3 linked regions of the Oryctolagus cuniculus genome follow. The protein of the gene in region 1 purifies or fractionates together with the protein of each later gene. This does not show direct contact. Links are inferred from orthologs where the notes say so. Each region holds a gene or a part of one and is shown in the gene's direction. Other genes may lie near its edges.

Region 1 (3,649 bases):
GGATTGAGCGACTTGGGCACTTCTACCTAATACATGTTTTTCTCTTTGACTTCTCTGTCTTGAAAACTTCCTCACTGACCTGTTTCCCCAGTTGTCTTTCTGAAGTTCCCTTAGCCCCGCTGTTACACACACAGCCCAGGGAGGCCGGGCAGCCTCGCTTAGGTGAGGTCCGTTCAGATGTGTTCAGTGTGGCCTCCGCCTCCTCCTCCTCCACCACCTCCTCCTCCTCCTCTTGTGTCAGCCTTAGTGAGGGCTGGCACTCACCTGGTTAGTGCAATGTCCCAGGTATTGAAGGCCTCATTGGGTTTGATTTGGGGCGACCGTACCAGGTGAGTCATGTGCTAAGTTCTCTTCCCAGCTGTCTGTGAGATGTGCGGTATCGTGGGCACAAGGGAAGCCTTCTTCTCCAAGACCAAGAGGTTCTGCAGCGTCTCCTGCTCCAGGAGCTATTCCTCCAACTCCAAGAAAGCCAGCATCTTGGCTAGATTACAGGTGAGAGGCAGCCGCTCGGCCCCCAGGGCCCTGGGTGCTAAAAGAGGACCAGCTGACTGGAGGCCCAGAGGACCTGGGAAGCTCCCTGTTTTGGCCGTCTGAGGTTGGACATTTCTTCTGAGAATTTGCTGTGCTCTCAAACCTCAGTAGGCAGAGGAGTCAGTTTATGGAGCTTGTTCATTAAGAGCTTGCTGTTATCCTTCCACCCCCAAGAGTCGCTCATATTCAATAAATTTAAGTGAGAGTCCTGGAGGTTCTGATCAGAGCTGGAAGCCCTGCTCTTCTCTGCACGCTTTTATAAATGCCTTGAAGGGAAGCTGGGATACAGGCGCAAGGTTCAGCAGCCACAGCGGCATCAGGAAGCCGATGCCTTGTCGCTGACTGTGTCTCATGGGTGGCCACCTGGGAAGTCTTGCCAAGCTCTTGACATTTATAGAAGTTTAGGGATGGAAACACTTGTCTTAGGCACCTGTTGTCAGACCCACAAGATGATGCAGTGTGCCGAGTGCAGGGAGGTGGAACGACTGACCCAGGGCAGCTCTGTGGAGGGAGAGCACTGGGATCTGGGCTGCAGCCTACGCTCAGCTGCCGGCCGTGGGTGTTTCCCAACGTGCACACGTGCCTCAAAGGAGACTGTGCATTCGGAACATCCGGAAAGTTTTGGTTTTTTTTTTTTTTTAAAGATTTGTTTATTTGGAAGAGTTACACAGAGAGGTAGAGACAGAGAGAGTCTTCCATTCACTGGTTCACTCTTCAAATGGCCTCAATGGCCAGAGCTGGGCCAATTAGGAGCCAGGAGTTTCTTCCAGGTCTCCCACGTGGGTGCAGGGGCCCACGCACTTGGGCCATCTCTGCTGCTTTCCCAAGGCGCATTAGCAGGGAGCAGCCAGGTCTTGAACTGGCGTCCATATAGGATGCCTGCGCTGCAGGCCGGAGCATTAACCTGCTGCACCATAGTGCCAGCCTCTAGAAAGTTTTAAAAATATGATATTTGGGGCCGGTGCCGCAGCTCACTAGGCTAATCCTCCACCTAGCAGCGCCAGCACACCGGGTTCTAGTCCCGGTCGGGGCGCCGGATTCTGTCCTGGTTGCCCCTCTTCCCGGCCAGCTCTCTGCTGTGGCCAGGGAGTGCAGTGGAGGATGGCCCAAGTGCTTGGGCCCTGCACCCCATGGGAGACCAGGAGAAGTACCTGGCTCCTGCCTTCGGATTAGCGCGGTGCACTGGCCGCAGCGTGCCAGCCGCGGCGGCCATTGGAGGGTGAACCAACAGCAAAAGGAAGACCTTTCTCTCTGTCTCTCTCTCACTGTCCACTCTACTTGTCAAAAAAAAAAAAAAAAAAGAAAAAAAAAAGATATTTGGGTCCTATACCCAAAGACTGGCTTAACAGGGAAGGAGTGTGATCTTGGCTTGGGGATTTAAAGAGCTCGCCGGTGACTCTGCCTGCCACCGTGATGCTGGTGGCAGTGCCCTGAGCTGGCTCCGGCCGGTGCCTCACTCACTGCACTGCCTTTGCTTCCCTCGTTTTGTGGGTTTTATGCAACGCATGAAAGAGAGCTCGTGATGTTACTTGGTAATAGTGACATCGGGGGACACCTGTTGAGGGCTTGGCATTCCCAGTCTAAACAACGATCCTAAAAAATTGACTTTACACAAATTCCTGTTTTAAGAGTTTAAGCATTTGAGTAAAAGATATAGAAAGCTTCAGAACCGGGGTTGGCCCCCAGTCTGTGTGGGATGTCATCCTCCATTTCTGCCTCACTGATCTGTGGTAAATTCCTGGCTTTTCTGATCAGTGCGTAAGTTACAAAGTATGCACCAGGGCCCTGGCCTTTCCCTTTGGGGGTGACCTCCTCTGAGTACCTGAGGACAGCACGGGAGCCTCCGTGGAGCACAATTACCTGTGTACGGAATGCTGCCTCGTGGAGCAGAGACTTCGTGGTGCCACCCTCCCCCACCTCACCCCCGCCCAGCCTATTCTCTGCGTGGCTCAGTAGCAGCACCAGAGTAAGGAGCTGACAGAGCTAAAGCTGTAGGGAGAGGCCCCTGCTCCGCTGACTACCCACCACCACCATCACCCTCTGAGCTAGGCCTTGTCCACGCTGTGTTTTACAAACTCAAGCCAGAAGAGGATAAGTAACTGAACAAGACCAGGCGGATCCTGACAGTGCCGATCCAGATCCTTAGCCGCCACCTCACGGCCTCTCTTTTCCCTCCAGGGGAAACCACCAACCAAGAAAGCCAAAGTGCTGCACAAGGCGGCCTGGTCTGCTAAAATCGGAGCCTTCCTGCACTCCCAGGGCACTGGACAGCTGGCCGATGGGACGCCCACAGGGCAAGACGGTAAGACAGCAGGGACAGGTTCTGAAAGTGGCTGCGGTGGTGGCCGGGACCCGGCTGGCCCTCCCTGGGAGTGGGGGCTGGGAAAGCTGGACCACTGGAAAGCCCCTGGCCCAGGCTCGCTGCCCGTCACCCTTTCCTGTGGGCTGTCCTGGAAGTTACCTCCTAAAAGCTCCTGGCTCACCCCTCAGAAGTCAGGAATTAGCTTCTTTTGTTTCTCTTATCTCTGGGGCAGTGGAGGCCCAAGTCTGGTTTGAAGGGGCGGCAGTCCGGGGTTAGGATAACAAAAGGAACCTTCTCTGTGTGTGTGTGTAGCAAACTAAGTGTAGGCCCTCGCAGCTCTGCCAAGTTGGCCTCCCCGCCAGCAGGTCTGGGCCTCACTCTGTGCTGCTCCACCCTGTTGGGTTGGATGTGGCCAAGGAGAGGCTGAGGGGTGTGAGGAATTTGAACCCAGGGACACTGGCATTTCCCTTTCCTTGGGATAAGAAGGGAGAGATACTCCTTTGTAAGTGCTCCTCTACCGAGGATTGGCGGCGTCTAGATTTGCCTGCACCCCCTGGTGGCCACTGGTGGGACAGGTCTGGGCGCACTGGGACTGCTGCGGAAGAGCGACTGCTGCTGAGCCCGCCGGCCCTCAGTGCAGTGACCACAGCGCTGCCACCGGGCTTCCAGGCGCCAATCTCCTCTCTGCTCCACAGCTCTGGTCCTGGGCTTCGACTGGGGCAAGTTCCTGAAGGATCACAGTTACAAAGCTGCTCCTGTCAGCTGCTTCAAACACGTGAGTGCCCCGGGTTGCAGAGGGAGGGCAGGGCACACAGC
Region 2 (3,749 bases), on another chromosome or scaffold:
TTTCTATTGCTGTGTAGTCTCGTCTCAAACACCGAGCATTTATTAACTGAGTGGTCTTTCACAGCCTGTTTTTCCGACTTCACATTCGGATGTCTTGTAACTAGTGGGGATAATAATAGAAAAGATGACTAAATACAAAGAAATTTGACTCCGTTAGTCTTAGCTGTATACAGTATTGCAAAAAAGGCAAGAAGTCCCTTACAAAATAAGTTTAATTCTGCGTGGTTTCCCAGGGGCTTTTTAGCGACTCCTGCAAAAGCAGTACCTATAAAACCAAGAGATTCGGCTTTTGTGCCGAATCGCCGCCTTAGGAGCACATCAAACAGGGAGGATGCTGGAGGACGCACCTCCAGCATGGACTTCCTAACAAGGGAAGCGAGGCGAGAAGGCGGCCTCTGCCAACTGCTGGCGCGATCCGGGATCACCGTCCCCCACCCCCGGCTCGGCGAGATGGAACATTCCGTGCGAAAGCTTTGACAAGGCGCCCAGTCGGAGTCACGTGGAGCCGGAGCGTACTCACGGAGCCTTGCGGAATGACGCGGCTCGGGTTGCCAAGGGGCGGGGCCAGGCGCCGCGGAAGGGGCGGGGCGAAGGAAGCCGGCCCGGGGAGCTAAGCGAGGCGGGGCAGGGCGGGCGGAGTGGAGGGGCGGGCAGAGAGGGGCGCGCGGGCGGGGAGGGCCCGGCGTATTATGGGATGCGGCGGTGGAATGGCGCTGGGCGCGTGATTTTGAACAAACCCGGGTCTGTGCCTCGGAGGCGCCGCCGCCGCCGCGGCTGCTGGGAGCCCAGGGAGCGCGGCGCAAGGAGGAGGCGGCGGCGCCGCCGGCTTTGGTGAGTGTCAGCCCCTGAGATGGGGGCTACCGGGCGGGCGGGAAAGGGGGAGCCAGTCTCCGCTGCGAATGGCAGCGCGGGCGGAGGGCGCCGAACCGCTCCCCCCCGGGAGCCTGGGCGGCGGGGCAGTGGCGGAGAGCGGGCACCTGCCGCCTGGGGGCCGCCGCGCCCCATCCCCGGGCCGCAGGGGGCGGACGATCCTCAGGGCACGGCCCCTTCCCGCCGGCCCCCGGGAGGGCGGCTGTCACTCGGCAGGGCCAACGCCGTGCCGGCCGCCCTGCCCGGCTGACTGGAGGAAGGACTCCTACGGCTGTGGACAGGCGCACAGCGCGGTCCGAGAAGCCGGCCGTGTGGGCCCCGGTGTCAGGGAACCGGTTTTGCTGCTGTGTCATTTGGTATCAGCCCCTCCTTTGCCTGCTGCCCGCCGCCGCCTTCTTCCTACGCCCCTTTGTATGGACTCTTCTTCGTGTGCGTCCGTTTTCCTCGCGAAGCCCACCAGCTAAATGTCACAGTGTTCCCGCGGTGCACGGGGGAAGGGAGCGGGCTGGGGCTCAGCTTGGCCACGCAACGGTAAACAGCCCAGCAGGGTGCGGGTGGACCGGGCTGTCGGTGGGTTGGTGAAGTTTAAGGATGAGGGAATTGGGAACACTTTAGACTCGGAGCGCCGAGCAGGCTGCACAGGAAAGCGGGGGTTGGAGCGGCTGGAGGATAGCACTTGTTTACGCCTGGAGCCGCCGACTTTTGTATGGAGTTGCCTTTCACACAAGGTGGAAATAAATGGCTTTTTCCACTTCCACCTTCCTCTCCTCAGACTAACTTTTCAAAAAAGGCACTGAGAGTGGCTGTATTCGCAACCTTGAAGTTCAATTTGCTTGTTTTACGTAGGTCCTTTAGAGCTTATGGCGTGGTTTAGTGGTATAGAATTTATCTTTTGAAGGGGTGATCTTTCTGAAATTAACAATGGTAACTGATTTTTTTCCAAATGCTGATTTCATCAGAAGCTTTGCAGCTAATGTTTTTCTTCTTAGGTGATTAGAAAATATGTATGTTCTCCTTTAATTGCTTATTAAACTGAATGATGACAGGAACTGGTGGGAGTATGGGGCAACTGGGGTCTTATTCTAAAGCAAACTGTTTATTTTCACTGTATTGAACAAAACAGCAGCGGCAGATGGTTTTTCAATTTGATGACTTAGATCCTAAAAACATTTGGCAAGAAATTTTAGCTTAGAGCTATATTTTCCGTATTTTGGAAATTGATCGTGAATGTTTCCACAATTGGATCAGTACATTTCAAATCCAGTCGCACTTTGAAGTCCGGTCGTCACAGTGTTCGTGGACAGAAGTGACCAGATTAAAGTTGAGTGGAGAGGGAAACAGTTCGGATCCTGGGTTTTAACTGGTGGCTTGTTTTTGACCGCCTACCTGGCTGAGGGTCGGTGCCTGTAGTTTAGGAAAGTGTCAGAGAGGTCAGGGCTAGCATATGGAAATCGCTCGTCCTGTCAAAGTAGTTCTGCGGTTAGAGTAATACGTCAAAGTTGGTGAGTGACATTCACGGTGCGGACAATGTTTGTAGCGTCTGAGATGGACGCCGCGAAAGAAGCCCACGCCTCCACCTCCCTCAAGTTGGTTTCGTGAAAATGAGGGAGTTTGGGCTCTTTATTGTCCCGGTGCCGCCTTCTGCTGGGCTGCCTTTGCACACAAGCCTATGCCGGACTTGGGACCCGCCGGGAGAGCGACTTCCTCTGGCGCCGCGGCGGGGCCGCCGGGCTCGGCGTGTGGTTCGGGGGTGAAAGGTTGGCGTGGCCCGTGAGCACTTGTTCCTCCGGGTGCGTTTGAAGGTTGGCGGGGCCGGCGGGAGGCTTCCCCGGATATGTGGGTGTGCGCCTCTCGGGAGGGGCGGGCCGGGGCGGGGACGGGGAGGCGGGGGGCCGGCTGCTGGCGGCGGCGGCGGCGGCCCGGGCTCGGGCTGCCGGGGAAGCTGCTGAGCTGTGATGGTGATGACGAGGTGAAAATGGCGGATCTTTCGAAATACAATCCCGGCCCCTGACATACCAGAGGCGGCGGCCGCGGCGACGTCGCCGCCCGGGCTCGCTCCCCGGCCCCCGGGTACCCTGCAGCGCTCCAGTCTGGGCCAACTGGGGAAGGAGGCGGCCGGCCGGAGCTACCGTGTCAGGCAAACAAGCACCGCCCGGGCTCGGGATTGCCCGGGACCTTCTGGAGCCCCCACCTCGGAGCCCGAGGGAGGAGAGAGCGGCCGCCGCTGGAGGTAGAGGAGGCTGGGGGTACCCCGAGGGCTCCTCTGGGTAGAGATCGCTGCGTTTCGAGGGGTGCCGGCGGGTGGGGGAAGAATTGCGTTGTGGATCGAGGCATGACTTGCCCGGAGTGCAAAGAAGCAGTAGCCTCGTCATGACATCAACATTATTCTTTGAGGGTGAAGAGGGCTCGAGTTTGCTCTTACACCTCAGGCGCTGCTGAGGCCTAGAGGAACCGCTAGCACTTACCATGATTTCCTGATGTGATACTGAAAATATCCACTCTGCCGGGTGTTGGTTGGGTGGTGTTCACCAGTTTAGGGGGTTGTATGTTTCTTTCGGGAGGCAGAGCATTGGCATTTTATTCTGCATTTAAGGTCTTGGATCACAACCTATAACTTGTTGGGGTGTTGGATGCTCACAGTTTTTGATCATAAGCACCACTATGAAGCCATTACCAATGTTATTTTTTTTCTTTCATGGCTCTGTCATCCATCAAGTGACCCCTTTGCCCCTGCCATTTGGCTGATAACAATTGAGATACTGTTAGTGATATTTTATAACCTTTGCTTTTCAGAGAAGTTCTTCTCTGCCCTCACCCCCTGCCCCCCCACCCCCAGTCCAATTTCTTGAATCCAGATAGTTAAGTTGTGAAGATTTTGC
Region 3 (2,615 bases), on another chromosome or scaffold:
AAGGACTCTCTCCTTTCCCATAGGAAAGCTAGTGATGGAGAGAAGAGTACTTCTGGCCTCACTACAGAGCCTGAAAATATGTCCTCGCCCCCCATCCTCCAGATGAAAACTGGCGTGGAGAACAACAGCAGTACTGATACTTTGTGGAGGCCTATGCCAAAGTTGGCACCTTTAGGTTTAAAAGTAGCTAATCCTTCTAATGATACAGATGGTCAGAGTCTCAAGGTGATGCCTTGCTTGGCACCTGTAGCTGCCAAAGTTGGGTCAGTTGGAAATAAAATGAACTTAACAGGGAGTGACCAGGAAGGCCGGGAGAGCAAGGTGATGCCTACGTTGGCACCTGTTATGGCTAAATTGGGCAACTCTGGAGCCTCATCAGGTTCTGCAGGGAAATGAAAGTATTTGTCTTCAGGCAGAAGCCAGATTGTGAGGGAAAATTGGATCTCACCTTCTTTCTCTGCAGGCATCTGTTTATTTGTGTCATAGAACAGTGATCTTTGACTTAGATGATGCAGCGAATAATGATAGAGAAAGAGGGTAGGGTGCTCGACCCTGGTACAAGAAATATTAAGGAATTCTGATCATGTTAAATGTGTTACCTCAATTGTGGTGCTGGGTCCCCTCATCCTAAGAAGACATGATCCATTTACTGAACTTGAGGTGCCCCCTTGCCCAAGGAATTCATAACAAGACTAGTTCTGTAGTGATTCCTAGTTATCTCCCAGCACCCACCCCACCCCAAGAGAAAAAGCTGCTTGAGACTTGGGGGCTCTTATGGACTGAACTGTAGCTGATATCTGTCCTGTTAAGTCTGAAATCTAAGGAATATGATGCACTTGTGTAAAAGGGATCCAGAACAGATAGTTTTTAGGTGTTTCAAGAATAGAGCGAGAGAATGATTATCATGGAATACCAAAGTGAAGGAGTTAGTATTGTTCAGCAAAATTTTCTCTTTGGTCTCCCAAGTAGCTTCCATTCCCTCACTTTTTCTATTGGAATTATAAATTCAAGCCTTTTGGTAAAGTAGGGTTACTTTTAACTTTTACTATTAAGGTAATTACTTCGAGGTGTTAAAAAAGTTTTCCCTGTTGTCTTTGTGGATGTTGGAAAAGGACATTTCACCATGCCAGGCATTTCTACTGGGGAATATTGGTTTTGGACGTAGGCAAAGAAGGGGGCCCTCTGCCTTTCACAAATCATGTCACTCACGAGATAGCTAAAATGAAAAGCATTTTCTCCCTAGATCAGAGACAGTGGCCAAATTAAAAAAAAAAAAAAATTGTGGGGCTGGATATTTCCTGAGTCAAACCAGTCTCCTGGTGCTTGAAGGTTTCATTCACTATTACCTGCACAGGATGTAAAGAAAAGTCACAGTAGGCACTCTACCAGGGAAATAAGGCAGTATTTGAATCACAAGATATATTTTTTATCTGCAACCATGGATTCAGTGATATGTAGAGATTTTTCACTCATTAGCTGTCAAGGTATGAAGGACTGACAGCCTGTAAAGATAAAGATATTTATATTTTTGTATAGTTTTCATAGATTTCTCAAAGGCTGAAGTTTTCAACCTAGAAGATGAGATTTGTATTGAGTATAGAAATGTTTCCTATCTAGTTTGTAAATAATCATGGTGCACTTGAGGGGTCTCTTGGAAACTCCTAGGGGCAAGAATCACTATTCTGAAAATGTATAGACTGGGAATTAGCTGCTGCATTTTGCCTTTCTTAAATAATTATATTTTGGAATGTAACCCCTGTTCTGTCTTCATTGACAGGATTTGCTTGTGTTGTAAAACACTAACACAAGAGCTTCCAGTGCCTGGGCTGTGCCTAGGTGATTCTGTTTGTTCTACATCCCTTGTCTCTGTATCCCAAATCCCACTCAGCATATCTTCAGAACTGGGTTGTGAGACCAACTGAGGAGTGTATCTAGCCAGTGAATTGTTACTTCCATATTTGATTCCCTTTCTATTAACTCTGGTAATTAACAGATTGAAAAGGGTGGGGAAACTTCTGCAAATTGAAGTGAGAGCACATTCTTTGTTGGTTTTATGCTGCTTACCTTTCTAGGCTTGCTCATCAATACTTAGTAACCTTTCCTCCATTGAGGGTTGCTATAGAAACATGAAGTAGGTAAAGAGTGCTCCTCAGCTTCTCATTGTCCCTTTCATTCTTTACCCAGCAGATTTCATTCAATGCCTTAGCCAAGGAATCCAGCACCTGTCTTCCCTGCTAATAATTGTCCTTGGAGATGCTAGTACTTTAACCCAGGTAATGGCAGTTTCCCACTGTTTCCTTGCTTGTCTCTTCCCGTTTCCTCCTGACTTCCCAAGGCTCTTAAGGCTTTTGAAGGTCAAAGAGCAGGCAAGTGAGTAATCCTCAGGAAAAGGACCATTTTAGCTTCTGAGCTTCTGAACATTTTAGCTTCTGAGCTTTCCTTTTTATAAGAAGAAGAAAATAAGCAAACCAGTCATAATTATCGATTGGAGGCTATTTTACTGTTTATAAGAGATGTACAAAGGTGGAAATGAGGGGTGATTCTGGATGTTCAGGGAAGGCTGCAGATGTCATTGCAAACTCCCAACATACAGTGTTCTTAAGACCTCTTAGAAC

What was found.
Region 2: the proteins of L3MBTL2 (region 1) and LIN54 purify together in Homo sapiens (affinity purification with mass spectrometry; 3 studies listed by BioGRID and IntAct, counting the BioPlex papers as one, with this or other methods). This does not show direct contact. The link is inferred for Oryctolagus cuniculus from reciprocal best matches to the Homo sapiens genes L3MBTL2 and LIN54.
Region 3: the proteins of L3MBTL2 (region 1) and MGA purify together in Homo sapiens (affinity purification with mass spectrometry; 3 studies listed by BioGRID and IntAct, counting the BioPlex papers as one, with this or other methods). This does not show direct contact. The link is inferred for Oryctolagus cuniculus from reciprocal best matches to the Homo sapiens genes L3MBTL2 and MGA.

The regions. Positions count from the first base shown.
Region 1 is NC_091442.1:117,288,894-117,292,542, forward strand, and holds part of L3MBTL2 (lethal(3)malignant brain tumor-like protein 2), read left to right. Parts: intron 1-358; coding exon 359-492; intron 493-2,709; coding exon 2,710-2,833; intron 2,834-3,528; coding exon 3,529-3,608; intron 3,609-3,649. UniProt on the Homo sapiens protein: Putative Polycomb group (PcG) protein. PcG proteins maintain the transcriptionally repressive state of genes, probably via a modification of chromatin, rendering it heritably changed in its expressibility.
Region 2 is NC_091439.1:82,838,300-82,842,048, forward strand, and holds the start of LIN54 (protein lin-54 homolog), read left to right. Parts: upstream 1-1,223; 5' UTR 1,224-1,334; coding exon 1,335-1,401; intron 1,402-2,547; exon of another isoform or gene 2,548-2,660; intron 2,661-2,966; exon of another isoform or gene 2,967-3,100; intron 3,101-3,749. Other genes in the region: uncharacterized protein, read right to left, coding at 1-100, 203-857, 978-1,223. UniProt on the Homo sapiens protein: Component of the DREAM complex, a multiprotein complex that can both act as a transcription activator or repressor depending on the context. In G0 phase, the complex binds to more than 800 promoters and is required for repression of E2F target genes.
Region 3 is NC_091443.1:64,844,426-64,847,040, forward strand, and holds part of MGA (MAX gene-associated protein), read left to right. Parts: coding exon 1-396; 3' UTR 397-2,615. UniProt on the Homo sapiens protein: Functions as a dual-specificity transcription factor, regulating the expression of both MAX-network and T-box family target genes. Functions as a repressor or an activator.